3 linked regions of the Ovis aries genome follow. Each later gene encodes a partner of the first gene's protein in a complex. Links are inferred from orthologs where the notes say so. Each region holds a gene or a part of one and is shown on either strand. Other genes may lie near its edges.

Region 1 (10,083 bases):
TATTTCTACATTCTATCTTCTACGTCACTTATCCTATCTTCTGCCTCTGTTATTCTACTGTTGGTTCCCTCCAGAGTGTTTTTGATCTCATTTATTGCATTATTCATTATATATTGACTCTTTTTTATTTCTCCTAGGTTCTTGTTAAACCTTTCTTGCATCTTCTTTATCCTTGTCTCCAGGCTATTTATCTGTAACTCCGATTTGTTTTCAAGGTTTTGGATCATTTTCACTATCATTATTTGGAATTCTTTATCAGGTAGATTCTTCCTCTTTGGTTTGGTTTGGTGGACATTTATCCTGTTCCTTTACCTGCTGGGTATTTCTCTGCCAGTTCATCTTGTTTATATTGCTGTTTTGGGGTGGCCTTTCTGTATTCTGGAAGTTTGTGGTTCCTCTTTATTGTGGAGATTCCTCACTATGGGTGGGGTTGGATGGGTGGCTTGTCAGGTTTCCTGGTTAGGGAAGCTTGTGTCTGTGTTCTGTGGGTGGAGCTGGATTTCTTCTCTCTGCAGTGCAGTGAAGTGTCCAGTAATGAGTTTTGAGATGTCGATGGGTTTGGTGTGACTTTGGGCAGCCTGTATATTGAAGCTCAGGGCTGTGTTCCTGTGTTGCTGGAGAATTTGCATGGTATGTCTTGCTTTGGAACTTGTTGGCCCTTGGGTGGTGCTTGGGTGATGGAGTGTAGGTATGGAGGTGTTTGATGAGCTCCTATCGAGCTCATTGATAGGATGAGCTGGATAGGATCTTCCCTGGATTCAGGAGTTCTCAGGTATTCTCAGGATTTGGACTTAAACCTCCTGCCTCTGGTTTTTAGTCTTATTTTTACAGTAAGCTCAAGACTTCTTCATCTATACAGCACCAATAATAAAACATCTAGTTTAAAGATGAAAAGTTTCTCCACAGTGAGGGATACCCAGAGAGGTACACAGTTACATGGAGAAGAAAAGAGGAAGGAGGGAGCTAGAGGTGACCAGGAGGATAAGAGGGGGAATCAAAAGGGGAGAGAGCCATCTAGCCAGTAATCACTTCCTATGTGGTCTCCACAGTCTGGACCTCTCAGAGATGTTCACAGAGTTACACAGAGAAGAGAAGAGGGAGGAAGGAGACAGAGGTGGCCAGGAGGATAAAGGGGGGAATCAAAAGGAGAGAGACAGATCCAGCCAGTAATCAGTTCCCTAAGTGTTCTTCACAATCCTGAACACACAAAGAGATTCACAGAGTTGGGTAGAGAAGAAAAGGAGGAGGGGGGAGATAGAGGCAACTTGGTGGAGATAAAGGAGAGTCCGAAGGGGAAGAGAGCAGTCAAGCCAGTAATCTCACTCCCAAGTAAAAATGGGTACTGAAGATTGGGTTCTTAAAGGTACAAGGTTGATAACAAATACCAAAAACAAAGATTAAAAATATAGAGTAGAGGTTAGATTCTCAAAAATACAATATTAAGAAAAAAGTCACAAAAATTATATACATACATGAATTTTGCTTTCAAAATAGGGTTTTTTGCAAGGTAATAGTAGGTTATAAAAATGAAAATTAAAGGAGTAATGGGGGACTTAGACATGAAAAAAATTTTTGTTTTAATTTAAAAAATGATAAGAGTAAAAATATATCTAGGACTTTCTCTGGAGCTGTTGCAGACAGGGTGGGGTCAGTTCATTTTCAGATAGTTCCTTGTTCCAGCTTGTACTTCTCAAGGTCTATAGGCCCCTTCCTATGTAGTCGGTGCTAACTACAGGGTTTTAATCTATTGCACCTGTCACTTCCAAAGCGGTTCCCTCTGTTTATTTTAGCTTCTTCTGTTTGCTGGTCTCTTCAGTGTCTAATTTCCACCCCGACACAAGGAGGGCTGTGGTGGTCACTTTTTTTAGTCTCACTTGTTCAGTCGTGTTGTGGGGAGGGAGGAACACTGCAAACAAATATCACTGGCGTGTGCTCACAGTAATTCAGCCACACTGGGTTTGTCCCTGCTCACGGCGTGTTGCTTTCCCAGTCTACCCTGTTCAGGCTCTAAGTTGCTCTGCCGGGAACTGTCTGATGCTGGCCCTGGGTTGTATGCACTCCCCAGGTCTAAGCCACTCAGGTTCAGGTTTTTGGGCACTCCTCAAAGACACCAGACTTGGTTGGGCCTGTGTTTTATGCCCGTCCCAGGTCCAAGCAGCTCAGGTGACCAGGTGCTTGGCGAGCACGTTGCCCCCAGTTGAAGGCTGTGACTTATTGCCTCCCCTGTTCCAGCTGCTTGGTTTTCTGGGTGTACAACGGGTGTGCCTTCTCAGGTGTGCCATGTGTCTCTTCTGGGGAGCTGATCTCTCGCTGTGACCCTCCTGGTGGATGTCGATCATCCAGAATCTCAAGAAGTCTTGGTTAGCAAGGAAGTCTGCTTGCAGTTTGGTATAGGATGCCCCTCTGGGGCCGTGCTTGCTCCCTTCCAGCTCTGGCTTCCCTCGCCTGCCTGTCTCCTGAGGGGGATGGGCCGGTTCTCAGCCTGCTAGCTCTGCTCAGTCCTTTGTTTTGTGAGTGGGCCTGGAGGTGTCTTAGGTTAGGGATTTTCTCGGGATAGCTATCCCACAGTCTGGGTTGCTTTCTCAAGCTAGTTCCCTCAGATTGCCTCAGGGCATTCAGGCCTGGTCCTTACCCTAAGCAATACAGCCTGTTCCTCCCTGCCCCTCCCCCCCCCACCCCCCACCCCCCCACTTGCTAGTGGGGGATGCGAGCATCTGGGCTGCTGCTCTGTTGGGAGTTGCTGTTAGGCACATAATCTGTAGGTTTTAATTATTTATTTATTTTTCCTCCCGGTTATTTTGCCCTCCGAGATTCCAAGGCCCGCCACAGACCTGCCAGAGAGAGTATTTCCCGGTGTTTAGAAACCTGTCTCTTTTTTAAGACTCCCTTCCTGGGATAGATCCCCGTCCCTACCTCTTTTGTCTCTCTTTTTATCTTTTATATTTTGTCCTACTTCCTTTTGAAGACAATGGGCTGCCTTTCTGGGTGCCTGATGTCCTCTGCCAGCATTCAGAAGTTGTTTTGTGGAGTTTGCTTGGTGTTAAAATGTTCTTTCGGTGAATTTGTGGGAGAGAAAGTGGTCTCCCCGTCCTATTCCTCTGCCATCTTAGGACTGCCTCATTTGTACGCTTTTAACACCCGTGTTGAGGAGTTGTGGGGAGGAAGAGGTTGTTGTAATTAAGTTCCCAGTGAATGTATTTCTTACATCTTTGCGTTAGTAAACATTCTGAGTAGAAAGGGCCTTTCTTGAAATTCTGAGCCTTTATATTTTAATTTTACTTTGGACAAAGAGAAGATTTTATCTTTTTATAAAACCTTAGAACTTAGAATATTCATTTAAATAAGACTTTGAAATTTGAGCTGCTTCTGAACATGAGAATTGGAAACAACTTTATCTTGGAGGGTGTTTTGTAGTTGTCTCCTCTGAGCAACAACAGCACTAGCTGACTTTTCTTAACATTACTGTGTGTTTCTTGGGGTAACTGTCTACATTTCCTTTTAGGCAGGAAGCTATGTTCGTGATGATGCAGTTCCCAACTTGATCCAGTTAATAACCAATAGCGTGGAGATGCATGCCTATACTGTCCAGCGCTTGTACAAAGCAATTCTTGGTGATTATTCTCAGGTAAGTACTTTTACTTTAGGGGGGAAATTGCCATTATTTTTCTGATATGTTCTTATTACTGTCACTCTAGAGGTGCCTCAGTTGTGACCTTTATGGTTGGATGACCTATATGATTTGTATTAATCCTTTAAAGGATAAAAATCTTTTTCAAACTGTGACTCTCTTTTGACAGCAACCTTTGGTGCAAGTGGCTGCATGGTGTATAGGTGAATATGGAGATCTTCTTGTATCTGGCCAATGTGAAGAGGAAGAGCCTATTCAGGTACCCTTTGTCACTCTTGGTTAAGAAAAGGGAAGACAGTGTTTTTGTTTTAAGAGTAGTGTTTAATGCTTTGAAGTCGATTCCTTGAAAACCTTTTAAAGACGCAAGGGTGGAATCATAGATTCATTGGAAAGCTTGCTCAGTTTTCAGTTGGAACCTACTGGGCCATTGTGAGATTTGAAACTCACCTTTAGGTCCCTCTCCCCACCCCATCATAGTGACTTACATTGTTTCTCTTACCTTCTGGCTGAGGAGAAGTGAGAGTGTCATGTTTCCATTTTTTTCTCCCCAGGTAACAGAGGATGAAGTGTTGGATATTTTAGAAAGTGTCCTAATATCTAATATGTCCACCTCTGTGACACGAGGTTATGCCCTCACTGCTATTATGAAGCTTTCTACTCGATTCACCTGTACTGTAAAGTGAGTATGGAGAAAAAGGGTGAATGCGATATATTTTTTAAAAACTTTTATTTTGGGAAACTTCAAGCAAAGGCAAAAGTAGAATAGTAAAATCAACTGCCTATACCTCTTACTCCTCAGTAACAGTCATCACTTCATGGTTAATCCTTATTAGATCTATACTTTGCTCCCTGTCATCCCTTCATCCCACCACTGCTTAATTTGAAGGTAAAAACTAATGTTTTTAAAATCAGGTATCTGATGTCTGTTTATTTTTTTAAAGTACTGAAGTTATTTTCCCATGTAAAGGTTCTGGTTTATTATAATTTGAGATATCTGAATTGGAAGAAAATCATTTTGGTGTTTAAATCTTTAAATTTTGCTTTTTTAAAAAAAGCCACTGTTTTGAATAGAACTCAATTCTTGGGTCAGTTTCCCAGTCAAGCATATTTAATATAAACTTAGTTCTCTCAGATGTTTTGCTTTTGTTTTTAATGTAAAGCCTCATGAAGAATGATATTTTTTACTGTTTAAATTGTGAAGTATAAGAATTTGGTATTAGGCAGTGACACTTTGCTTATAAAAGTCTGATGCTATGACCCTTTTGTTGATAAAAGCTTACTACTGTAAAGTTATTAAAGAAGGGAATGAATACTATAAATTTGTTATTTTATAGCAAATTAATAATTGGTACTTTTGTTTATCAAATTTTAGGGTATGAGATATTAAGATGAACATTTCAAAATTTTAACCAGAAACCTCTGTTTTAAACACTGTTCTTTCTGCTTGTTTATGAATTTTCTTTTGGATGTTTGAATTTGTTTGTCGTTTTATCCCAAAGCCGAATTAAGAAAGTGGTTTCCATCTATGGAAGCAGCATTGATGTGGAACTCCAGCAGAGGGCAGTAGAATATAATGCACTTTTTAAGAAATACGACCATATGAGGTAAGTGAAAGAAACCGAACAATGCATGTGCCTCTTAGCATCCCAAACACTTTCTCATGATAACCCGTAAAGGAGTTTCACCCCTCATGCTTTATTGGTGGGACATCACAACCCCGTTCAGTTCTTGCGGCTTGGCTACTTGTGTTTTGTTCGTCTTCTGTTCTGCCTAGCCTCTAAAGAAATAAGTGAACCGTGTTCTTTTAGTCCCCTTTTCCCCTTTCTCTTGGTAAGGAAAGTTTTCTTCATTTCCATTTTATTTGGTGAAGAAGTGAGAGTTGTTTCATCTCAGGAGAATCTCATTGAGATATCATTACTATTACCATTGTGAACTGCTAATATGTACTTGTTTATCTTTCTTTCATTCCAATTTCTCTGTCACTTATAATTCTCAGGCTCTTGGGATTTAGATGGACAGTTTGTCCATTCAAGGTTTCCTGCCTGCCCTTAATCCAGTCAGGAATGTAGGTCACGTATTCTTGTAATCCAGCTTCTATTTTAGTATATGTGTTGGGATGTGGGGAGGGGAGAGGTCTCTCCACATTTGGCTGGAGTACAGTTAACAGTGATTGTTTTGGGTAGGGAATCTAGGTTAACTGCCTAGAATTTAACCACTTCAGATTCTTCCAGGTCTGCCCTTCTTGAGAGAATGCCTGTCATGGAGAAAGTGACCACAAATGGCCCTACTGAGATTGTACAGACAAACGGAGAGACAGACCCAACTCCTCTAGAGACAAAGCCACCGCCCTCGGGGCCACAGCCCACCAGCCAGGTAGCTTTTCCCTTGCTTATCCTCATGATCTTCTGGTTCCTTAGACCCTATTTCTTAGGTGATTCCCTTCAGTGTTCCTGGGTTGATTGATAATTCTGTTCCCTGTTTTTAAGTATTGAAGGGGCTTTGTGTTAGATAACAGATTAGACAGTGACAATGAATAAGATATTATTTTCTTGTTTAGGCCAATGATTTATTGGATTTGTTGGGAGGAAATGACATAACACCTGTTATTCCAACTGCACCTACAAGCAAACCAGCTTCTGCTGGTGGAGAGCTTCTTGATTTGCTGGGAGACATCAACCTTACAGGTGAGGCCAGACTAGAGTTAATTTCATGCTTGGCCAGGGATAAGGGCCTTAGGGAAAAACTACACTGAATGTAGACTTTCTGTCTAGCACATGAGACAGTTGAAGAATGGAGAGGGTAAGTGACAAAAAACAAGAATCTTCACAACTTCTGGCCTATGTTGCCATACTAATACTCTAGAGGTAATTCATAGAGATTCCTCAAAGTCTAATTTTTAATTTTTGGAGAGTAAATTACTCAGTGTTTTAAGACAGAACAGTCTCAGGCTAGAAAAGAAGCACATCCCAAGAAATACATGACTTTTTCTAGGTTTCTTTCTACTCATGGTTAGTTTCCAAGAGCTGTGGCCTTCTGTGGAGAGTGGAAAGATGTTAACCTGTTTTCCTCTTTCCTTCTCGCCCTTTCTTTCTCCTTCGTGTTAAAGCAATGGAAGGATAAAATTATCCAGGGTTATAATATTCAAACATAACTTTTCATTTGGGGATATCTTATTTTTATTGACATGTAGTAGAAATTTATAATTAGTGTGTCTGCAGATACTGTAAACACAAGAGGTCAAGAGAATATCACTGTAGCATATAATTTCTATCTTAAGTGACTTCTCTAAAAGTAAAATGGAGAGTTACAGCATACATGACCTTGAGTGGAAAACGGCCATAGGTTAAGGATGTTGGATGCTAATCTAGACAGGCTATCACAGACTTAAAGGTTTTTTCCTAACATAACTGCCTCCCAGAACTTATGGTTTATATTTATGTCTTAACAAAATTTCAAAATATTGCTTGTCATTGCTTAGGGCCATTCACAGTCAGTTTCAGATCCCGGGATGCCAAAGCTGTCCTGAACATACGGAAAAACAGGAACAACCCCATTTGAAACATAGTGTTTGGGGACCTTCCTGGCAGTCCAGTGGTTAGGACTCTTGTGCTTTCACTGCCATGTGCCCAGGTTCAGTCCCTGGTCAGGGAACTAGGATCTCACTGGCTGTGTGGTGAGGCCAAATGAAAAACCAGAACACAGTGTATAGATGATATGCTTTACTTATTAACATATTAGCATTTCCATGTTAGTGTATAATCTTCACAATTATAATTTTGGATGGTTGTCTACTATTTGCTAAGTTTAACCATTATTTATTCAGTTCCTTACTATTGGGCATTTTGCTTGTTTCCAGATTTTTCTTAACTGATGCCTCAGTAAATATTGTTATTACATAAATTTGCCCAAATTTATTTTGGGTTTACATTCTTAGGCTCAGTTAAGTTAGGCTTACTCTTTCTGAATCTGTTTAAAATAAAAATGATTCTTACACATCATAGGGTATTTGTGAGGAATAGTGACAGTGCATGCATGACACATAGTAGGCACTTGGTAAATGTTACTTACCTTTTCCTCAATGTCTATGAATTTCACTGTTAGTCATAAATAAAAAAGCCCTAACAGTGATTGACCCTCTCGTCTTATTTTTATTTTTTCAGTCTAGGGAATGTTTTATATTTGTCCATATTTGTATTATATGTGAATTTCCATTTTGCACATTCCTTTTGTCTCCTTTAACTCATTTATTCTGGAGCCTTAATGTTTTATTTTTGTTCTTTCTTTTTTTTCTAGTGTTAACAAGAAAAAGCAAAATAATGAAGTCTAGCTTTTTTTCCTTATTCATAATGTATTTTACTTTTTTAATTTATTTTTTAATTAGACGAACATTGCTTTACAGTGTTGTGTTGGTTTCTGCCATGCAACAACATGCATCAGCCATAATTATACATACATCCCCTTCCTCTTGTGCTCCCCTCCCCTCACCCTATCCCACTGCTCTAGGTCATCACAGAGCACAAAGCTGGGCTCCCTGTATTACATAGCAGCTTCCCACCAGCCATGTATTTTACACGTGATAAAGCGCATATGTTGAGGCTACTTTCTTCATCTGTCCCACCCTCTCCTTCCCATACTGTGTGCCCAGGTCCATTCTCTACATCTTCATCTCCATTCCTTCCCCGCAAGTGGGTTCATCAGTACCATTTTTCTAGATTCCATATATATGCGTTAATGTAAGATATTTGTTTTTCTGACTTATTTCACTCTGTATAACATAATGTGTTTTAAATGCAATTCCCCATTTTCTTTACAATTTTAAGTAAAGTTTTGAATTCTAGATTCTTTAAGCCATCATCACAGTCAAATCCTCATGCACCATCATTTAAATGAGTATAAATTAGAAAATAAATTTAGTATGTGCTTTTAGAAAAACTTGAGCTCTGAGTTTCTGTTGTTTTTCAGAACTACCTATTGTACCATTATAGGAGGAAAAAAAGCTACAATTTGAAGGACTAGGGACCCATATGTTGCCTCTGTGTCTTGGGTAGCCTATGATTTTCCATGGAAAGATGTTTCTAAAATTGTTTTGAAAATGGAAATTGTGGGAAAATTACTAGATTAGTTTTATAGAAACTAGGATAGCTATCTGAATATTGTTTATATTCTTCATTGGTAATCTGACTGCACATCCTGTGGTGTCTTCATTTGTTTTAGGTCCTTGTGCTTTGCTTGGTCATATGTATTTCTCCCTTACTTGCTAATTTTTACTATATGATTTTTTTTTCCTAGTGTACTTGGGTATTTTTTTAAAAGCTAATTCAACCTTTATTTTATTTTGTGATTTTTAAAATGGTGTAGTTTCAGCTAATTTCATAAAGTAGTTTGAAACCAACTTAAGCATAAAATGCATTCTGTTTCTTTTGGTGAATTTTCTTATGCTTCTTCTTAGAATCTTGATTTCTGTCAGTTCATGGTCATGTTCTATCATTTGCCCTCCATAACTTGTTCTTATTTGGAAGGATCAAATAAAAATAATAGACTGACGATTTTGTTTCCCCACTTCACACCACCTTTCCCAGGATGTGTGTGTGTGTTAATGTAATACTCTGCAATATTTAATATATGTAAAATTCAATAAATAAGTCTTGTCTTGATCTTCTTAGCTTGGAAAATAAAATGTTGCTAAGATTGTTGACATTCCCTGTGTACTACCTCCTTTTCTCATTCCCTCTTGATCCCAGAGGTAACTACTGTCTATCCTAAAATAGTGTTAGCTTTGGTGTTTACCATTCCTGTGTATTTTTGGAATGTTACAGTGTGTAGTATTATTTTGGCTTTTTAGAACTGGTGTCCAATCGAATGTGTACTTTTATACCTTGCTCTTTTGCTGTACATTGAATTTGTGAATAATCTATGTTAAGTGTATTTCTAATGGATTCACATTTTTATTGCTGTATGTGTTTAGTATTTTGGGCTTTCATGGTAGCTTGGCAGTAAAGAATCTGTCTCTCGGTGTAGGAGATATGGTGATACAGTTTCGATCCGTGGGTCGGGAGGATCCCCTGGTGAAGGAAATGGCAACACACTCCAGTATTCTTGCCTGGGAAATCCCATGGACAGAGCAGCCTGGTGGGCTACAGTCCATGGGGTTGCAAAGAGTTGGACATGACTTAATGACTAAAAAACAACAGACAATGAATAGTATTTTATTTTGTCAGTGTACCACAATTTATTTACCCATTATTTTGATAGTGAACATTTTGATTATTTCTAGAATTTCATTGTTAGAAGTTATTTTGCCCTGCACACTTTTTGTATATGTCTCCCTGTGTAAATATGCAAGAATTAAAGCATTCCTAAAAAAGGCAGTGGGTCTCAGTTGGGGGAGATTTTGCCCACCAGGTATTGGCAATGTCTGAAGATACTTTTTGGGTGTCAGACTGAGAGGATGCCAG
Region 2 (10,591 bases), on another chromosome or scaffold:
AAACCAGCTGAACAGGTGGGGCCAACTCACATGTGTGGTCACCGGACGGTACAACCTGATTACCAAGTTGACCAATCAAGAGTCCTGAGTTACTGGGGATTGAAACCAACTCTGGCTAAATGAAACACGAAAGGAAACTGGGGAGCTCAAGGAATTGTCAGGAGGGCCAGAGAACCAGCAGAAGGTCTCATGCTAGAGACAGTGGCCCAAATCACAAATCATGGGATGCCTACATGGTACCCCTTGCCGCCATTGGTGCACAGGACGCTGCCATTGGTGCCACTCCACCTGCGCCCTAGGTTTTGACCCTCTGCCAGAATTCAGAGGTATTCAGGACCCTTCAGAATTCAAATTCAATACTTTGAATTCAGAATTCAAAGTATTCAGGACCCTTACCTGTCCTCATTATCCCATCCCCACCTCATTCCCTCCTGGATCAACCTCCAGGTTGGTGGATGGACTGGCCGAGTCCAGCAGACAGGCTCATGCTGTGGGCACAAAAAGCAAATTCAAATGCTACACTGCAAGGTTGTGCTATTTCCCCCGGGCATCATAATGTGAGGATTCCCAAACCCTAGGAAGGGGGTTTAGAGGCAGGGAAGTGAAAAAGAATGGCAAACATCTACCACACAAAGTATTCAGGACTCTTAGGAACAGCATACAATAAGGTCCCAATTGCTTAGTTAAAAAAAGAAGAAGTTAAAAAAAAACCCAGAGATGACTCCAAATGACATCATCAGAGAACAATGACTACTTACAGAACGAGCCAAAAATGGTTGCAGGGCGCATCATCATAAGAGGGAGACAGATCACAGACTCAGAAATGAAAGGCTTCAGGGGCCATCTGGACCCCCCTTCCACCCACTGCAGGAACTACTTCTACAACCAGAGGAGGGAAGGCTCAGGGAGGGGACAGCATGGGCTTTGCCAGATAACAATACAAACACCAATCGTACCTATGAAGGAGAATCTCACCTCTTCTATTTTTCCATTTATACAAAAGGCACCACTCACTAATCCTTCAGACTCATCTTTGATTCTTCTTCCTCTTCTATTTAGATGAGTTCGCAGCTTCAATTGATTGGTGCATTACAGGTATCTCTCAAGTTTGTCCAGCTCCAAGGGCTTCCCTCATTGCTCAGTTGGTAAAGGAGACCCCGGTTCTCAATTCCTGGGTTGGGAAGATCTGCTGGAGAAGGGATAGGCTGCCCACTCCAGTATTCTCGGGCTTCTCTTGAGGCTCAGCTGGTAAAAATCCATCTGCAATGTGGGAGACCTGGGCTCAAACCCTGGGATGGGAAGATCCCCTGGAGAAGGGAAAGTATTCTGGCCTGGAGAATTCCATAGACTGTATAGACCATGGGGTCCCAAAGAGTCAGACATGACTAAGTGACTTTCATTTTCACTTTTCATTTCATCTTTGTGTCTAGATTCCCAAAACTGTCTCCTAGACTGGTGGTCCCCAACCTTTTGGGCACCAGGGGCTGGTTTCATGGAAGATAAATTTTCCATGGATGGCTAGAGGAGGTTTCAGGATGATTCACGCACATTACAATTACTGTGCACTTTATTTCAATTATTATTACATCAGCTCCCCCTTAAGTTATCAGGCATTAGATCCTGGAGGCTGGGCACCCCTGTCCCAGATGATCTTGCAGCCTTCCATTTGTTCTTTCAAATCGTTCCCATATTACTATAAGATTAACCTTCTGAAAATGTTTTCCACCAAGTTATTCACCAGCTTAGACAATCATAATGACTCCCAACTTCCCACTGCATCAAATCCAAACTTACCTGCAGATACAAGTTTATTGGAGCCACTAACTCATAGATTATCTATGTATATCATTCACTAACAATGAAGAAACGTAATCCACCATCTTCTAGCTAGTTTAAACCACTTAGGTCTGTGATTCTACATGAGCAAAACCCATATTTCTAACAATTCTCTCATGAATCTTATCTTCTTTGCAGCTAGGCACAGCATGTTGAGATAAGGAATTCTAGAAAATGCCATCTTTTCAAGGAGTGTAGGAGCTTACATCTCTGGATCTTCCGCACTTTTTTGGGCTGTTGCCTAGATCTCTTCTTTGCCTCACTGCTCATTACTTCTTTATAAACAATCTTCTCCTCTTCCCCACGAGTACATTTTATTATTTTGCCTTCTGTCCTTCTTACACACTCTCATTCCTTCTTTTCACTCTGTAACAGAGTACCCTTTCTAACTCTAACAGCTTACCTTATTGATATTATTTCTGATCTAAAAAAATAACATCAAGATAGTTCAGCCAACATCTATGCCATTGGCAAGCCTATGACATAGGCAGAGAAAAGGACATGAAAAAGAAAGGATGAAGAAAAAGTACTGGAAGAAAGAAGTTGGGAAAAGCAAATAGTAGTAATTACTACTGTTATCAGTAATTACTACTGATATTGCAATATCAACTGTTGACAATGTTTCAGATACTTTCTATCCAGCCTCAAATCAGACCTGCAAGGTTGGTATTACTATCTTCATTTTTTAAATGAGGAAATGGAGGTTTAAAAGACCCACCCGAGACTGCACATCAGGTAAGGGTCAGAGACCAGATTGCATTGCAGGTGAATTAAGCCCACCCTCTTGCAATTAAAGCATATGACCTCCATAAAAGAGTAAGAAGAAAAGAATACAAAGCAGAGACAGGTAAGGCCTTACCAATAATTGCTTCAAGTGCTACTCAAAAATAATAGCATCATTAGTTACCAACAAATGTCTAGAAATATACCATTAAGCTTTTGGCATGACAAAATTTAAGATTTCCTCTCATCCATTTATATGCAAAGTGCTTTGGCATGTGGACACACACACTCACACTTGCAAATCCCTCTCAAAACACATGTATTGCAATTTACCTCCGTCTCATCTTTACATTCGTGTCTGGGTCACACCGTCCCTTTTTAGCTTTGACCCATGCTAACTTTTCAAGATTTTCTTTATTTCTTCCTCTTTCTTTCCCCTTGATCATGTTTGTCCTCTTCCTTACCTCACTTTTCTATCAGCTTCTCCTCTTCCCTTATTTCTTGTCTGCCTCATTACCTACACCCTTCTCTTACTTTGAGTGTTGTTGCGTCCAGCAGGTTCTCAGTAGATATCTGTTTTGAGCTCCATACTTTTCTCATACCTGCCCCACCACCACCCTTTGTCTTTGCCTTCCTCGTCATTCCTCCTCTACAGATGGCTTCCACCCTGCTCCCTCTCAATCGCCCACACCCCTTCCATTAAATTACCCTACTTCCTCACAAACTCCAGGGGTCATCTCATCCACCTCTCACCCCTTTTCCCGCCTTTTTCCCCCTAGGTTCCAAAGCGCGAAGACCTCATTGTCCTCCTCCCCCATCTTCTAACCAGTCCACAAGACAGCCTTGTTACCATGACGACAGGGCTACTCAAAGCTGAAGTCAAAGACCTGGTTGCCATGGCCACCGCTTCTCCGCCTCCGGCCCCGCCCGCGCGCCTCGCAGCGTCGGCGCCTGCGCAGTACGCAGCGTATTGGTTCCCGGCACCCTGGCGGACGGGGCGGGGCTTCAAGCGAGAGGGAGGGAAGGAGGCGAAAGGGTAAGAAAGGGAGTGGAGCTGGCGCCTACGGTGGCCGAAGAGGGACGCGCAGGGCTGGAGGCTGCAGGATGGTAGGCTCTGCGAAGAGGGAGGGGAGGGGGGACCGAGGGGCGTGGGCTGCACCTGCAGGGGTCCTTGGGGGCTGCCCTCTGTGTGAGCCGCTCTTTTCCCTCCTCCAGTTCTCAGAGGCCCTCACTTACCTGGGCGGGTGGGCGAGCCGGCCTCGGAAGGAAGAGCAGCTGGAAATCGCTTTCGGGAGAAGCGGCGGGGAGTGGGCGCATTTGTAGGGCCAGAGGGAGGTGACTAGGGGGCGGCGGGACCGTCCGGAGCCAGGGGGAGCGCACGGGTCGCGATCTCAGGGGTCCGGATCACTGCCGCAGGGAACTCGCGCGAGGAACGGGGTCTGGGGCCTGCTGGCTGACGGAGGCGGCAGGGGTCGCCTGTCTCCGAGACCCTCCGTCCACGTGCAGCCCAGAGTGGAGCGGCGGCAGGCGGGGAGGGCGGTGTGTGGGAGGGGATCGTTCGGGGTGCGAGGAATAGACGTCCTGCCTCGGTTTGTCGTCCTGCCCACCTGGAGGCGGGGATGAGGTGGGGGAAGCCAGGTGGGCTCGAGTTTTGCTCTCTGGGACCCAGGCTTTGGCTTCCCGGCTCCGGGGCTCTTGGCTCTCCGCCCCTCTACCCTATCCTCTTTCCGGAACGCAGGCCTTCCGTCTTCCTGCTCCCTGGCCCACCCTCCCATCCTAGGCTCCCTTGCACCACTCTTTTGCCCTCCGGCCACGCTAGCAGCGCTTCCCTTTCCCCGATAGCAGAAAATACAGTTCTCTTGAATTCCGATCTGTAGCCGTCTAGACTAGTAGTGTTCCACACACCCAGGACTCCAGCCCTGGTGGCATACACGGAGAGACGAGCTACAAGGGGAGGGAGATCACTCCAGGATGTGGCCTGGAGCCCCTACCCCCCTGGAAATGGGAAACTGGGGGTGCACGGGGTAGTGAGAGTGAGAGCTCTGCACGTCTCCCCGCTCCACCTCCTTGTGCTTGTTCCAGGAACATTCACTAGGCGAGCCGCCCAGAATGGCTGGGTCCAAACTGAAGAACTGAAAGGGAAATTGATCACCTGATATCTGGGGAGGTGTGGGCATGCTAGGGAGGCACCCTAAAAGGAAGAAAAAAGGAATACCTCTGGCTATATGCCTGGATGGCTGAGTAGAGTGGAGGGTGGTGGAATCTAGGGGGTCCTGGTGTCATGTTATGGACTTCCCTGGTAACTCAGACGGTAAAGTGTCTGTCTACAATGCAGGAAACCTGGGTTCGATCCCTGGGTCAGGAAGATTCCCTGGAGAAGGAAATGGCAACCCACTCCAGTACTCTTGCCTAGAAAATCCCATGGACGGAGGAGCCTGGTGTCCATAGGGTCGCAAAGAGTCAGACACGACTGAGCGACTTCACTTGGTATCATGTGCTAACATAAAGGATACCGCTGGGCATAGGAATGGAGGGCAGTATGTTGGGGACATTGGCTAGGGTGTATGGCTAGGATGGGGCAGAGGGCTGAAGTAGCTTCTTGGGGAAAGAAAATACCTGATTTTAGGATGGTGGTGGATAGAAAGCGGGAAAGAAAGCAAACTTCTCCTTGCCATCAACTTAGGGGCTGCTCGTCACTGTGCTAGCATTTTACCCACCTTTGGAAACCAGGTTTAGGAAACAGTAAGTCAGGACATAATAATAATGACATCCAAGGTGTTATAGTGCTTACTTCGTGCCAGGCGCGATTTCCTATGTCGGTTCCACCTAACAGCTCTGTAAGGTAGGTACTTTTATTATTTCCACCTGACACACAGGGGAACTGAAGCCCAGAGAAATGAAGTAACGCCCAGGGCAAATTTCTCAACTAGTAGAGCCAGGATTCGAACCCACAGGACAGACTCAGAAGCGCTGACACCCCCTCCAAGGAAGGTGCTTGCTAATGGAAATACCCAGTTGACCAGAAGGGCTGATGTTTTGAAGAAAGTAGGGTCTGTGAGGAGAAAAGAGTTGAATGGGAGGAGTTTGGGACTGTGTGGTTTTGGAGGAAACAAGCTCAGAGAATCAAAGCTCTAAACCTCGGCTCTGACTCCTCCTTCCTCTCCCTACCCCCCACCCCCAGATGCGATTCATGCTGCTGTTCAGCCGGCAGGGGAAGCTGCGGCTGCAAAAATGGTACCTGGCCACCTCAGACAAGGAGCGGAAGAAGATGGTTCGGGAGCTTATGCAGGTGGTTCTGGCTCGCAAGCCCAAGATGTGCAGCTTCCTGGAGTGGAGGGACCTCAAAGTTGTCTACAAGAGGTGACTCCTCACCTACTTTCAGACCTGCCTGGATCCTGCCTGATTGGGGTCTGGAATGGGTTCACCTGGCTGGGAAATAGGCAGTCCCTTAGTCTGGCAGAGGTTTCCTGGTGGCTCAGACGGTAAAGAATCTGCCTGCAATGCAGGAGACCTGGGTTCTATCCCTAGGTTGGGGAGATCCGCGGGAGAAGGGAATACTTATCCGCCCCAGTATTCTTTCCTGGAGAATCCCATGGAAAGAGGAGCCTGGCAAGCTACAGTCCAAAGAGTGGCTAACACTAACTAACTAGGTCTGGGAGAGCTGAGAGCTAAGGACATCTGGAAGGCAGTGATGAACTCCAGCCAGCCTTTACTTTCCAAATTCACCTTGAAGAGAGACTTGTTCCTTCTTGGTTTTGCTCAAGCCTGGTACCTACTTCACGCACCTACCTCTGTCCCAAAGGCCCGATCTTACTGATTGCACACATCCATTGCAGCCTCACTGAACAGTTGTAGACCCTGGGCCACTTTCCCAATACACACACCCCCAGACACACAAACCATTTGTGGTTCCTCCTCTGAGCAGGTGAATTTGTTGGCTCAGGTTTTTGCTGAGTCAAACTGAATGGGTCAGAGGGAAAGAGCTTGTTTCTTTGCCTGTGTTTATGAGAGGCACTAAGAGACACAGTGAGTGACGTTTTCTTACCCTGGAGCCACCCCGCCTGTGTCCAGTAAGGACACAGATCAGGAATGGGGGAAATGGGAGGTTGGGGCACAGAATGCCTGGGTCCCGAAGCAGCCCCGGCAGCACACCCAGCCATCCATCCCTCCGGTGTCCCCGTCCTCAGATACGCCAGCCTCTACTTCTGCTGTGCCATCGAGGGCCAAGACAATGAGCTCATCACGCTGGAGCTGATCCACCGATACGTGGAGCTCCTGGACAAATACTTTGGCAGCGTAAGTCTCTCCACCCACCCCAGTTTCCGCGCTCAGCAATCCTCTTTTTCTACCAGACTCGGACCCTTCCAGTCTCTGTTCTGACTCAGGAAAGGGGAAGTTGGAACAGTGAGAACAGTAATTAATCTCCCTCTTTAAGCCTTAAGCCTATTAGCCATGCGTCTTAATCAGGCCCCCATGGGAGAAGGGTGGGAACCAGAATCTGCCACTTAATCAATCCATCTACAGCTCAGCTCAAACTTCCCACACAAAGACAGAGGTCATGTTCAGATAGTATCAGTGGTTCCTAACCTTGACTTTGCTTTGGAGACTTCTGGATAGTTTTTTTTAAACAATAGCGATGCCTGGGAATCACCCCCAGAGATTCTGAATGAACTGATCTGGGCTACAGCCTGGGCACTGGCAGTGAGCTCATATCTTAGATGGGGAATAGTAATAACCATAACTTGTGTTTCACTTAACAGTTTACAAAGAGCTTTCAGGTTCTCCTGTTTGCTTCTCATTCCATGAGTAGGTGTTGGTGTCTCCATTTTTGGAAGAGAAAACGGACTCAAGAGAAGTTAAATGGCATGTCGAGTTAGCTGGTTTCCTTCCAGGCTTTCCTGGCTTGGTGATAAAGAATCCGCCTGCCAGTGCAATAGACGTGGGTTCGTTCTCTGGGTTGGAAAGATCCCCTGGAGAAAGAAATGGCAACCCACTCCAGTATTCTTGCCTGGGAAGTTGCATGGACAGAGGAGCCTGGCAGGCTGCAGTATATGAGGTCACAAAAGAGTCGGACACGACTTAGCGACTAAAACAAGAGTTAGCTGGTTAGTGTCAGAGTGTGGCCTAGAATTGAAGCCGTTTACTCTGTGACCCAGAGTCTCCTTCCCTGCCCTGTCACAGCACCTTGGGGTGCAGGGAGTGGGGTGGGGATGGGTGGGGAGGCCGACCCAACCTCTGGTAGGATTTGTGTCATAGATTTAGGGGAGAAGGCAACAAGAGTCAGGGTCAAGGGTAGACTTGAGCAACTAATATCTCATGATCACAGAGGAAGAGAAAAGGAGAAGGAAAAGCTGAACCCAGGATGAAAGCCTAGGGGTCAGGAGGACATAGACCTGGGGCAAGAACCCAAGGTGGAGAGTGGTCATGAAGGCCACGGAGCCAAGGTGGGGAAAGAGCTGGGGAGGCTGGGGCGCAGGCGAGGGGGGAGAACGCACCTTGACCCTCACCTCTGCCTCCTCCCCCGCCCCCCAGGTTTGCGAGCTGGACATCATCTTCAACTTTGAGAAGGCCTACTTCATCTTGGATGAGTTTCTGATGGGGGGAGACGTCCAGGACACTTCCAAGAAGAGTGTGCTGAAGGCCATCGAGCAGGCGGACCTACTGCAGGAGGTACGGGTCCGGGACAGTGAGGAGGAGGAAGAGGACCGTGGCCGAGGGCACCCTCCCTACCCTGGACCCTTCACCTGTGGACCCCAGCTGCCCTCTTCCCGCCGCTACCGAAACGGCCCCCCTTCCCTGTGGCGTTTGGCCCCCACGCTGCCAGGTTGGCCAGCTGGGCCTCAAGCCCTGACTGCTCAGGGTAGGAGGTAGTTGGGGGCCAGACAGCCCGCTTTTGTCCCATGCTTCTCTTGGTGTTTAGGGTTGCCCGGAGAATTGGAGAAGGGGCACACAATAGGTCATTCTTTTTCTTCCCTGGTGTCTTCCCTTTTTTAAAAACACACACACATACCCAAAGCCTCTGCTGCTGAGAAGCAGAGTTTTGCCCTGGGGATTTCAGGGTTTGGGTGGAGGGCACCTGGTCGTTGGTCCTCCCTTCTGTCCGACACCCCCGCCCTCACCCCGTTGCTGCCTGCCCCCTCTCTGCTGTGCCGCTGCTGAGCCTTGGTGCAAGGAGATGAGTCACCGGAACCTGCAGTGATGAGCAAGCCGGCCTGAGCCGGCTCTGAGGAGGGGGAGAGGGGGTGCTCATCCGTGCAGCCGGAGAGAGGGTAGAATCTGACTTGCTACCTCACTGGTCTAGTCCCCCATCTCACACAGACACACACAGACACACACACACACACACACACACACACACACACACACACATGTGCCCTGGCACTCGCACACCCACCCTGTTACTAGTGCTCTGCTCAGACCCTTATGACTCATCTCTCTGCAGTCTGGTCCACTTTCCTCGGGGACCTGACGCCAACTTCTTACTGCCTCCCTCGACTCTGGAGGGAAAAAACAAAAAGGTCCCACCCAACCATCTGCCACCTCCAGCCCTGGGAAAGCAGGTTTCCCAGCTCCCAAGCCCCCATTTTACTCCCTTCCCTTCAGCTAATAAGGTCGAGCCCCCTGCTCAACGAGCTCCCGGCTTTGGGTTCTCTGGGTGGTGGTGGACTCGGTTTGGTTGCCTCAGTTGGCTCTACAAGGAGGCCTCAGGAGGCTGGGCAGCTCCCCTGAAGGGTCCCCGGCCTTTCCAGCCTTGGGCTTACTTGGGCTTCTCTCTCCCCTCTCCCCTGTGTCTCTGTGTCCGCCCCCCTGCCCCGGTCTGCCCTCGTGATTGCTGCCCACCCACCCCCCTCAACCTCACCCCGTCTCTCCTGGTGTCTCCCCACCACCCTCTGTCTCTGCCTTAGGAGGATGAGTCGCCACGCAGTGTGCTGGAGGAGATGGGTCTGGCATAGCCCTCGCCCTGGGGCCGAGTGGAGATGTGGGGATCTGGTGGAGAGGTGGGGCATTGGTGGCCCTTTTCCTCCTGCTGGGACCCAGCTGCGCCTGCTCTGCTGCCTCACCTTTTTCTGCAGTGAGCTGTGGGCTCAGGACCCTCAAGCATTCCCTCCTTCTACCCCTACCTCCTGTTTCCCCTTTTCTCACTGAAGGCTTTAAGGAGCTAGGAGGCAGGAACATGTGACCAAGTCGGGGGTGCTATTTGGCTTTCATTCCCTGCCTTTGAAGAACCAGTGTCACCCCAAACTTCCCCCATCCTTATAACTGTAAATATATAAATATGTCAGGTTAAAGGGAAAAGGTTTTCAGGGCTCTTCTCTTCTCCCTGCCCCATAACCTACCTCCAGCCCTCCCCGCAGCCAGCCGGGGGCGGCCTCTCTGCCTGGGAGGGGGACTTCTGTGTCTCCAGAGGGAAGTCCTTTTCCCTCATCTGCCCCTCCCCTTCCTTCTTGGCTGCAGTGGGGCCTCTGTCCAGTGCCCGGGGAGGAACAGCATAGTTAATTTTTTTCTAACCTTGCTACTTTGAGGGAAGGGAGGGCTGGGGGGAGGGCAGGCTTTACAGGAGACTGGGCCCTGTCCCTCCTTCACTCTTTAAATTCTGGGTGAGGCAGGAGCTAAGGGGGTGGGGTGGGGAAAGTGTCTGATTCTTTTTCTTTCTCTGAAATAAAAGGAAAAGCATTTCTGGACTTTGGCTTGCTTAGGCTCTGTGAAGGAAGGCAGGGCTGCTGGAATCAGTGAGGACAGAAACAGAACCCTGCCCATTCCATTCCACTCTTCCCTGGAACTAGGATTGCCAGATTTAGGGGGGGGGGGGGAAGAGGACACCAAGTTCAATTTCTTATAATAATGAATAATGCCTTTTTAGGATAAGTGTGTCCTGTGCAGGGCTTCCCTGCTGGCTCAGTGGTGAAGAATCCGCCTGCCAATGCAGGAGACTCAGGTTCAATCCCTGAGTCAGGAAGATCCCCTGGAGAAGGGAATGGCTCCCCACTCCAGTATTCTTGCCTGGGAAACACCATGAACAGAGGATCCTGGC
Region 3 (10,083 bases), on another chromosome or scaffold:
TTACTGTATTTTTCAGATCTAAGATTTCCATTTGATCTTTCTCCTTATAGTCTCATTTCTTTCCTGAGACTTTCCAGTTTGACATTTGTTGTAACAGTATTTGTGATTTTTCCCATAGCGGTTTAAAGTCTTCTTCATAGAATCACAACGTCCATGTCAGTATTGGTGTCTATTGATTGTATTTGCATGTGAGCTGACATTTTCATGGTTCTTTGTATGCTACGTAATTTTAGGTTATATCTTGGGTAGGATTCTAGGTCTTATTTAAATTATACAGAAAATGTTGATTTTTTTGGTTTGTTTTAGCTGACAATTGACCTGGTTAGGTTCAGGCCATAAGTTTCAACCCCGAGTCTATGAGCCATGAGTATCAGTTCAGTTTTCAAAGCCTCTGTGCCCTTTGCTATTTGCATCTGTTCCAAATATGCAGTGCCCAGCATTTCATCGGGCCTGGGAACAGTTTGGTTCTCAAGGCCTTTGGCCGTAGGATCTTGTCTGTGCACACCTGGTTCTAGAGAGGTCTGGAGACATAAACAACTTCCTGAGGTTGCTTTCCTGAACCTTTCACTGTCTGCTGTATACCTGTGCTCTCTGGCTGCCTGGGGCTTCCTTTTTTGGATCTGTAGACAAAAACTTAGGGCTCTAGATCCCCACTCTTGTGCTGGTCTGCACTGGGGCTGGAATCCTAGGTTTACCACCCCCACCCCTGGAAAAGCAGCTCAGTTGCCTGGGCCACAGACAGCCGTGAGAAAACTGAAAAGAGGGAGAAACGGGGGATTTCCGTATTCCTTCCGAGCAGCAGGAGTTCCCCTTCTGGCCCTGAAGTCAGAACTAGAGGCTTCTGCAAGCTCTGGCTACACCCCACTGCTCACTTCCACTTCCAGGCTTCTGCTGCATCTCACACTGTGGCGGGTGGGAGACACTGCTCATTCGGCCAGCTCTTCTGGATCCACCTTTTTGGTCTCCCAGTAGTTGCCCATGCATTCTGCCCGGGTTCTTTGTTGTTGCTGACTTTATTGAATTAATTCACGTGCTGTGTCTTTGTTAGTGCTTGGGCTTTTCTCCAGTTGCAGCGCACAGGCGTCTTGCTGCAGTGGCTTCTCGTCGTGGGGCTCAGGCTCCAGGGTGCGTGGGCTTCAGCAGTCGCGGTCCCAGGCTCCAGAGCACTGGCTCGGCAGTTGTGGCGCATGGGCTTAGTTGCGTGGGATCTTCCTAGATCAAGGGTCCGACCCGCGTCTCCTGCATTGGCAGGTGGCTTCTCTACCACGGAACCATCAGGGAAGCCCCCTGCCCAGATTTTATAGCTGTGGTCAGTGTCAGAGAACAGGCGATGGGAACCAGTTCCATCTCACCTGCAGCCTGCCTGCCTCCACACAGAAGACCTCACTCCCAGTACCTGGGCAGACCAGGGCCAAACCCATCACATACCTGCAGCCTGCCTGCCTCCACACAGAAGACCTCACTCCCAGTACCTGGGCAGACCAGGGCCAAACCCATCACATGGGCTCCTTGGGTTGCCCGTTTTTGGCTGTTCCAGCCAGTGCAGAAACGAGCATGATCGCTCATCCTCCTGGGTGTTGGGGCATCTCCCTTGCCTGGGCAGGATCTCTGTTGGGCTGAGTGCCCAGGCATGGAATTTCTGAATGAGAGCACTTTCTAAAAAATTCTTCCAGTGGACTGAATGTAAATGTATCTGCCATCTTATTTTCTAAGCCATGAGGTGACTGTGGCTCCCTGTGCTCCCCTCCTGTCTGAGGACCTTCATCTGGATTGTTTACTGAGCCCAGACATGTTCTTGGGTGTCCTGAGGTGGAGAGGCAAATCCCAGGAGTAGTTGTAAGCAGCTGCCCAGGAGAGCGCTGGGAGCTCAGGGCTGCCCCGGCCCCTGTGTCCGCACACATGGCGCTGTCCAGGGAGCCCTGTCCTCTCATACAAGAGGCAGCACGAGGCAGTGTGGACGTCCCAGGCAGGATAGAGCACGCCTTCCTGAGTCTGACTGCAGAGCTGGCGGCCTCCAAAATCAACACTGGCCTCCAGATTCTGAAAATCTGGTTCTACGGGTATAATTAGCAGCCGTATTGCTGACACTCATCTCCACGCCTGCCCTGGGACGGCACCGGCTGTGGGCCTCCTCCAGCATTGGCCTTAAAGGCTGCGTGGCTTTTATCTCCACTTCCCAAGCCTCCTTTGCCATTGTTCAGCTCTAGAGGGCTGCCCAGCCCCCCTCCCCCAGGGAAGATAGCCCCCCAGAGGAGGAGAACTAAGGGCACTGAGAACCCGCAGAGTAAGGCAGTGGGCATGCCAGCTGCCCAGAGCTCAGGGGCGAGGGGCCGTGTCTGCATGGACTCACGAGTACGTGCTGCCCCAGGCACCATCCTCATGCTGGACCCCGCAGTGAGCAGCCCGACCCGACCCCTCACCAGAGTGTGGATGGAGGTGGATGGGCAGGCAGATGGGGGTCAGGTCACACGCTGCCTGCTGAATCAAGGTCAGCGAGAGGCCAGCGAGGTCAGAGCATGGTGAGTGACGGGAGGTGGAAGGGCCTTCCGTGCTGTTTTGTGCCTTTTTCTGAGTCACTTCCCTCAGAGGTGAAGGTCTTCCATGCCTGCCCACGGCACTTCCAGATATTTGAGTTAAAGATTGGACAGATTTTCCTGCTTCTCCACAGAAATCAGGAAGTCCGGGCCTCCAAAGAGTGGCCCGTAGGCTCAGGTCTCTGAGTTTGTTTTGCTTGCCGGTGTGGATGGGCATCCTCACAGAATGGCACTGTGGGGTGGTGGGCCAGGCTGCAGCCCCAGAACCTCTGCCAGCTGCTCCGTGCCTCAGTGTCCTCATCTCTAAAATGGGGCCGTGGAGACGTGCTGCAGCAGCCCAGCTCCCTCAAGACAGCCCCCGGGTTTCCCCATCATCCTGCTGTGATTTTTACTTTATTTATTTATAAAAATGCATGTATTTTTAACTGAAGGATAATTGATTTACAATATTGTGATGGTTTCTGCCATACATGTGCATACCTGTGGATCAGCCATAGGAATTCATCTGTCCCCTCCCTCTCGAGCCTCCTTCCCACCGCCCTCCCCATCCCACGCCTCTAGGTTGTCACAGAGCACTGGGCTGTGCTCGCTGCGTCATGCAGCAAATTCCCACCAGCTGTCTGTGTTACATACGGTGGTGTATGTTTCCCTTTTGTGTGCCGTCTTCATTCACCCCACACTTTCTTTCCCCGACTGTGTCCACAAGGCTGTTTCCTATGTGCTGTGATACTCAGTTGCACCCTCAGATGCCTTCCAGTCTGCACAGGAGTTAAAAGTCGCCCAAGTCACAGCCCTGCCCAGTCAAGCAGGAACTGCCCAGGCAGTGTTAGAGCTGGGATTGTATTTGCTTAAGTGTAATTGTTACTTTGCATCAGCCCTCAGAGCAGCCCTGGGAGCAGCACCCAGGCAGCTCCATCTTCAACCAGCCCTAGGCTCACCTAGAGCATAAAGTAGCCTCACCTGGCCTCACATGAAGAAATAGATTTCCGGAAAGTGAGTCCACCCTGCTCCGAGAAAACCTCACAGAGCCCAGTGGATGAGCAGACCCTGATAGAATCCCTGCCCAGGCCAGCCAAGCACACAGCCTCCAGCCACCAGGTCTGCCCTGGGCATTCTAGGGGCACCTCAGAGGGGTCAGCCCTCAGAGGGATTGCAGGCGCCAGCATCAGCTGGCCCATCCAAGTGGGAGGAGCCTGCTGTGGCCTGAGACCCAGAGGGCGGGGCCCGTGGGTATCTGCCTTCGGGGTCTGCCCTGACACTGCCTCCTCAGCTCAGGGCACAGAGAGAAGGGAGAGTGGGAGAGGCCGGGAGGGTCACACAGTGTGGTGGGGGACAGTGGCCGTGGGCGCGGGGCCTCCCCTCACCCCCGGGCCCCCCAACCCCCAGGTCAGTGCCAACGGGAACGTCCTGCGCAGTGAGATCGTAGGCTCCATCAAGATGCGCGTCTTCCTGTCCGGCATGCCCGAGCTGCGCCTGGGCCTCAACGACAAGGTCCTCTTCGACAACACGGGCCGTGAGTACCCTGCCCGGGCCCAGGAGCGTCCACCTGAGTGGTCAACACGTTCACCTTAGGCATATTGCCTTAGAAACATTGTCGCGTTGTTTTCAACGGTGAAAACTAGTCAGCTAACGCCTGGGCCTGGAGGACACGGGGGAGTGAAAATCCTCCAGTCCAGTCCCCGTGTCGGCTCTCAGGCCAGAGGTGCAGATGGGAACCTCGATGGTCACACAGAAGGTCCTCAGCCCCGCCCTCCTTCAGGGACTGCAGGGCCGCTCTCCTCCTGGGCCCAGTTTCTGTCCTCACCCCTGGCATTGGGGCTGAGCTGTGCAGAAACCACACACAGTGGCTCGAGCTCACCCTCCCTGGCCTGGGTTTAACATTTTATGGTGTGGCAGCCGGGGTGGCCTCAGAAGCCCAGGGCTGCTGGTGCTCTGGTGTTCCCAAGCTTGACCTCCAGCCTCCCCTCCCACCCACAGGAAGGTTGTCATAGTGACATCAGCAGTAGTGCTCGTGAGGGCCTCTCAGACATCCACCCAGCAGAACAGCTCCCCTCCCAGGACTGGGCTCGACCCTCAGCCTCTCTGGGCTGAGAAACTGAGATGGGATCCCAGGGACGACAGGCCCAGGGCCCTCAGGGGACCCCGAATCATCCCTGAGCACGTCCAGTGGGGTCTGTTCGTCATTCAGCAAACATGTCCCAGGCAGCACCCCAGGCTGGGGGCTCAGAGTGAACCGGCCCACCAGCTCTGCCCTCAGCCCATTGCTGGGATGTGATGGGGCTTCCTGGGGGTGAAGAAAGGCAGGCCACCCTGGTGTTCGGGGCCCAAGACGCGCTCACAGATTTGGAAGCAGCTCTGGTCTGCAGGGGTGGGCCCCAGACAGCAGGGCACCGTTGCTGAGAGTGGCCTGGGGGACCTGGCGTCTGCCTGTCACGCCCTCGCCTCCCCGCTCCCTGCAGGTGGCAAAAGCAAGTCCGTGGAGCTGGAGGACGTGAAGTTCCACCAGTGCGTGCGGCTCTCGCGCTTTGAGAACGACCGCACCATCTCCTTCATCCCGCCTGACGGCGAGTTCGAGCTCATGTCCTACCGTCTCAACACACACGTGAGTGCGCAGTCGCCAGCGCCTGGGCCCCAGGCTCCCACCCCCGCCTCGCCCCGGCAGCACCCCTTTTCCCTGCTGGGTGGGAGCCGCCTCTTCCATGGGGAGTCTCGGGTCTGTGAAGTGACCTGTGGGATGGGCACAGCGCCCCAGGGGCAGCCCGGGCTCCAAGGAGCCTGCTTGTCAACACGAGCCTCCAAACTTTGGTGGGGCAGACCCTTTGGCACCACGGCCCCCTTTCCCCAGCAGCACCCCAGAGTGTCTTCTGTGATGCTTTCTGCATTCTCTCTTGTTCTGACCCATCCTGGCACCGGCTTGGCTTCTCCTGGGAGCCCCTGGTGCTGGGCTCACACCAGGCGCAGTGGTCACTTGCCCTATTTCCCCTCTGTGAAAGGGAGCTTTGTAAAACGACTAGGCGAGAACGCCGTGTTCCACCTCCCCTACAGGTCAAGCCCTTGATCTGGATCGAGTCCGTGATTGAAAAGCATTCCCACAGCCGCATCGAGTACATGATCAAGGTGCGTGTGTGTCCTGCACGCAGCATCAGCCGGATGTGCAGGGCATAAGAGGGGGACAGGGCCGGCCCCGCCTGGCACGGGCCTTCCGGACTCTCTGGCCTGCCCAGTGCCTTTGACACAGGGTCCTAATGCAGGACTGGGGGCACACTGGGGCTCTTGTGCCCCCTTCCCCGGGGCTGAGCCTGTGGCTGTCATCCATGTTGTTTCCCTGTGAGCTCGCCGAGAGTGGGCCTGGGACACAGGACACACCGCCCAGGCCCTAGGTGCAGCCACTGTGGAAGCGGGCTGTGGCTGAGTGTCCAGGTGGCGCACTTCGGCCACCAGGGACCTCATCCATCCCAGGCCAGTCTGGGTGATGCAGACATTGTCCCCAGAGGCCAGGACCGCAGAGAAGGATGGGAAGCCCCAAAGGCTGAGGAGACAGGCGGGCAGGTGACCTTCCAAAGTTGAGCTTAAAGAAAACCTCAGAGGGCAGGATAGGCTGGGGGAATCCCACAGGCCAGGCTAAGGGGTTTGTGGCCCTTGGGGAGCAGGCTGGGTGGGAGCTGGGCTCACTTTCTCCCTCTGCACCCTTGGGGCACTGCCTCATCTCCAGGCCAAGAGCCAGTTCAAGCGGCGATCAACAGCCAACAATGTAGAAATCCACATCCCTGTGCCCAACGATGCCGACTCACCCAAGTTCAAGACGACAGTGGGGAGCGTCAAGTGGGTGCCCGAGAACAGTGAGATCGTGTGGTCCATCAAGTCCTTCCCGGTGAGCACCCTCTCGGCAGGGCGCCCCCAGACCCCCACCCCCACCCGCCTGCTCCCTGGGTCCCGGGCAGCGTGGCAGCCTGAGCGCTGTGGGCCCCTCAGGCCCGGGGCTGGGATCCCCGCCTGGGGCTGCGGGGAGGCTCAGAAGGGAGGCTGGGTGGAGAACAGGGCCGGGTGGGGTGGGGGTGCTCCAGCTTCCTCCTGTGTGTGCAGAGTCAGCACAGCGCCCCCGCCCCACCCTCCTGCTGCCCTTCTCTCTCTGCCTGCCACTCCTGTTTGGAGCTCAGCTTGCCTCCAGGGGTGCAGACTGCCTGCCTTGGGGCCAGAGCAGCACCGGCTCCAGGAACATAGAGCGCCTGCTGCCCGACCCACAAGCTGGCGTGGGAAAAAGGAGCAGTTGGATTGATCCAGGGTTGAAATTCTTACAAAATCCACGCACCTGGCTGGTGTTCAGGGTTTGGAGCACTGGAGTCTGGGTTTGTGGGCAGAGTGCCCAGGGACTGGAAGGCAGGAACGAGGCTGCACGGACCGCACATTCCTCGTGGGGAAAAGACGCAGCGCCTTTTCGCTTTGTCTCGGGGCCGCTTGTGTTTCTTGCTCTGGAAGCTGTAGTAGCTGTCCTTTTGCTCACTTTTCTGTCAAGTGTGGTCACTCTCTTGCTGGTTTCCAAAAGCTGTTTGCATGTGGGCGAGGGGAGTACTTTTTCTTTGATAGCAGTTGCAAATGGTTTTCCTTAGTTTGGTGTTTGTCTTTCAGCCTCGCCTCTGGAGTATTTTCGCTTTGTAATCTTTTTGATTGTGGTAGTTTTTTTTTCAGTTCTCATGGGTTCTTAGATACTCTTTCATATGTTTGCGGCAGTTGCAGTTACCCTTTTTCCTCTCCTATTCTTGGGCACCTTATGACTCCTGGCATCTCTCTGCTTCTGTTGCTGTCTCCATGCCTGTAAGTGGTGGTGGAGAGCAACCTCCTGGCTTTGCCTCCAGCCGGAACTGCTAGGGTTTCCCTTTTTCAGTGTCTTGCTGCTTTGGGCTGCAATTTATTCCAGTTCTACTTGGCTGTGTTTTTAGCATAAAACAGCAACAAATTTAGCCAAATGCTAAATGTCTGTCAGTTCGGATATCAACACAGGATGGATCTTGAACCATCCTTGCATTCTGGCAGGCTCCAGTTGGTCATGATATGTCTTCTTTGATGAGCCATTAACTCTGTTGGTTAACAGTGTACGTAGTATTTTTACATTGAGATTCATGACTGAGACTGACTTTTTTTTTTGGTACCTCTGTCTCAACAGGTATCAATATTGTACCTGTTTCATAGTTTTTTTTTGTCTCCCTCTTCCACGCTGCAGAACAGCTTTAAAGTGGCCTTGAGATCATCTGGCCTTGAGAGGATTGATAGATTTGGCTGTGTGTGGCCATCTGTATCTCTGTTACTCTTTCTAACTCATCTGTGGAAATTAGGCCATTTCGAGTTTCTATTTCTGTTGGAGTCAGTTTGGGTAAATTTGTATTTTCCTACAAAATTATCCATCCTAACCAGGTTTTCAAATCTGCCTGCACAGAGTTGTAGAAAGGGGGCTCTTTTTCCCCTTCTCTTACGACAGTGACTTCTCCCTTGTTATACCTTGTTTGGCATTTTTGTTACTTCTTTTCCTTGATACGGTTACCTAGCGGTTTGTCTATTTTTTTTCCAGATTCACTTTTTAGTTTGTTTGTCATATTTTCCAGTTTTATAAGTCTTTAATTTCTTCATCCTTTGTCCTGACTTTCAAGTTTTTAAACTTTTATTATTTTCTTTTAAAATTTGTATTGATATAAATATTTAAGCCACAGATGTTCTTCTGAAGCCTGCCTTAGCTATATAACCCATAGAACGGGCACGTAATATTTGATACTATTATCTAGAAATTCTGTAATCAAATGAGTATTTTTTCGTTTTGTTTGTTTTCTGTTTTTCTGGTCTAAGGGCCTTTTCTTTTCCATTTTATCTTCACTTTGAGTTTGGTGCATTGAGGTCAGAGAAGGTTACTTGTGCTATTCTGCTTATAAGCTTTATTGAAGTATTCACTGTTTGTAATGTAAGGTCAAAGTTTGTGAATATCCCATATGTACTTGAGAAGATAAGGCCCCTGTAACTGGGGTAGAGACCTTGGCACGAGCATGCTATGATGCCGTGGCGGCATCAGCCACACAGGGAGCTGGGTCGCTCTGCCTTCTCTGGCTCCTCTGGTTCCTGTTTCATCTCTCGTAGCGCCTGCTTAACAGAAGTTGCTGCCGTGTCACTTGGTGCATAGATGCTCATAACTCTTGTGTCTTCCCTGTGGATTTGTAGGACAGCAGCCTTTCAGGCTGTGAAAATTGTCCTCTGCACCTGGAATTCTTTGCCCTTAATTCTCCCCTGTGGCAGCAGTCCTGCTCTTTTTTTTTTTTTTTTTTTTAAATCTTTTTTTAAAAAATTTTTGGTTGCACTGGGTCTTCATTGCTATGCATGGGCTTTCTCTAATTATGGTGAGCGAAGGCTGCCCTCTAGTTGCCGTGCGTAGGCTTCTCGTTGCAGGGGCTTCTGTCCTGTAAAGCACAGGCTCTCGGGTGCACAGGCCTCCGTAGTTGAGTTGCAGCTCGCGGGCTGTAGAACGTGGGCTCAGTGGTTGTGGCACACGGGCTCAGTTGCCTTGCGGCATGTGAGACCTTCCCCAACAGGGATCAGATCTGTGCCCCCTGCATTGGTCGACAGATTCTTAACCACGGGACCGCAGGGAAGCGCAGCCCTGCTCTGCTTTGTTTGACTTTGGCCGGCATGCCTTCACCCTTTCTCGCTACTGGTTTCATCTTTCTGACTCTGCTTTTACAGTGTAGAGTTGGGTTTTGGTCTGTGAGCCAGTCTCCAAGTCTCATTAATAGAGGAAATTAAACCCATTTACATGGACCTGATTGACACAAGGTAGGCTTGCAGACTTCTGCCACCCACCGGGGAGGGCCTACCTCTACGCATTCTTTTGCTTTCATTTTCCACTTGGTTTTTCTGAAGCTTAGGGTTTTGGTCTGGTTACTGTTTCATGCAAACACTGATGGAGCTGGTTTTCTTCCTTTGCTGCCTGTTTGTCTGTTTTGACTATAATTTTATTAATCTGGGCTGTGCTGGTCTTCACTGCAGCGTGGACTTCTCTCTGGTTTCGGTAAACAGGAGTGGGGCCCACTCTCCAGTTGTGCTCGGTCTCCCCACGCAGCGGCTCCTCTCGCCATGGAGCACAGGCTCTGGGGTGCGTGGGCTCAGTACCTGCGGTTCCTAGGCTGCACAGCACAGGTTCCTCAGTTGTGGAGCATGGGCTTAGTTGCTCCACAGCCTGTGGGATCTTCCCAGATCAGGGATCGATTCTGTGTCTCCTGCGTTGGCAAGCAGACTCTTTACCATTGAGCCACCAGGGAAGCCCTGCTTTGTCTATTGCTGAGGCTGCATTATTCTCCCCTTGTTGTCCCAGAATCTTCACTGAGCACACAGCACCAAGTCAGGCAGAGTCCACACGCCTGCACTGATGAGCAGATCCTGACCTCTCACTTCATCCCTGAAAGGGGAGGGTGAGCACAGCACTGGAGAGGCAGAGCTCTGCGCTGCTCTGCCGAGGCCGTGCAGAGGCAGCCCTGGTCAGCAGTGACTCCTGTTTCCAAAGGCCTGAGGATCA

What was found.
Region 2: the proteins of AP1G1 (region 1) and AP1S1 are in contact, whole or in part, in a crystal structure (PDB 1W63), measured with the Mus musculus proteins. The link is inferred for Ovis aries from reciprocal best matches to the Homo sapiens genes AP1G1 and AP1S1. Residues at the interface, in NP_001288140.1 of Mus musculus: Leu7, Arg8, Ile11, Arg12, Arg15, Leu54, Tyr55, His57, Met58, Gly60, Tyr61, Lys78, Phe79, Thr80, Arg83, Ile84, Leu87, Met90, Leu91, Asp94, Glu95, Thr115, Phe117, Leu123, Cys124, Gly127, Cys128, Tyr152, Lys155, Lys156; in NP_031483.1 of Mus musculus: Met1, Leu14, Arg15, Leu16, Gln17, Lys18, Trp19, Leu21, Ala22, Thr23, Asp25, Arg28, Lys29, Arg42, Lys45, Met46, Cys47, Ser48, Phe49, Glu51, Lys56, Gln74, Asp75, Asn76, Glu77, Leu78, Ile79, Leu81, Glu82, Leu83.
Region 3: the proteins of AP1G1 (region 1) and AP1M1 are in contact, whole or in part, in a cryo-EM structure (PDB 7R4H), measured with the Mus musculus proteins. The link is inferred for Ovis aries from reciprocal best matches to the Homo sapiens genes AP1G1 and AP1M1. Residues at the interface, in NP_001288140.1 of Mus musculus: Arg24, Glu25, Gln28, Lys29, Ala32, Arg35, Ser36, Arg39, Glu40, His64, Phe65, Gln67, Leu68, Gln97, Val99; in NP_031482.1 of Mus musculus: Ser289, Asn318, Asp319, Ala320, Asp321, Ser322, Trp334, Pro336, Glu337, Asn338, Ser339, Gly361, Leu362, Pro363, Ser364, Val365, Glu366, Ala367, Glu368.

What each region holds. Positions count from the first base shown.
Region 1 is NC_056067.1:38,853,994-38,864,076, forward strand, and holds part of AP1G1 (AP-1 complex subunit gamma-1), read left to right. Parts: intron 1-3,502; coding exon 3,503-3,625; intron 3,626-3,797; coding exon 3,798-3,887; intron 3,888-4,179; coding exon 4,180-4,307; intron 4,308-5,127; coding exon 5,128-5,232; intron 5,233-5,859; coding exon 5,860-6,001; intron 6,002-6,185; coding exon 6,186-6,312; intron 6,313-10,083. UniProt on the Homo sapiens protein: Subunit of clathrin-associated adaptor protein complex 1 that plays a role in protein sorting in the late-Golgi/trans-Golgi network (TGN) and/or endosomes.
Region 2 is NC_056077.1:36,001,915-36,012,505, reverse strand, and holds AP1S1 (AP-1 complex subunit sigma-1A), read left to right. Parts: upstream 1-3,627; 5' UTR 3,628-3,663; coding exon 3,664-3,666; intron 3,667-3,795; exon of another isoform or gene 3,796-4,264; intron 4,265-5,740; coding exon 5,741-5,919; intron 5,920-6,746; coding exon 6,747-6,855; intron 6,856-8,091; coding exon 8,092-8,430; 3' UTR 8,431-9,464; coding exon of another isoform or gene 9,465-9,512; 3' UTR 9,513-10,241; downstream 10,242-10,591. UniProt on the Homo sapiens protein: Subunit of clathrin-associated adaptor protein complex 1 that plays a role in protein sorting in the late-Golgi/trans-Golgi network (TGN) and/or endosomes.
Region 3 is NC_056058.1:6,576,466-6,586,548, reverse strand, and holds part of AP1M1 (AP-1 complex subunit mu-1), read left to right. Parts: intron 1-3,920; coding exon 3,921-4,047; intron 4,048-4,993; coding exon 4,994-5,136; intron 5,137-5,579; coding exon 5,580-5,651; intron 5,652-6,246; coding exon 6,247-6,405; intron 6,406-10,083. UniProt on the Homo sapiens protein: Subunit of clathrin-associated adaptor protein complex 1 that plays a role in protein sorting in the trans-Golgi network (TGN) and endosomes.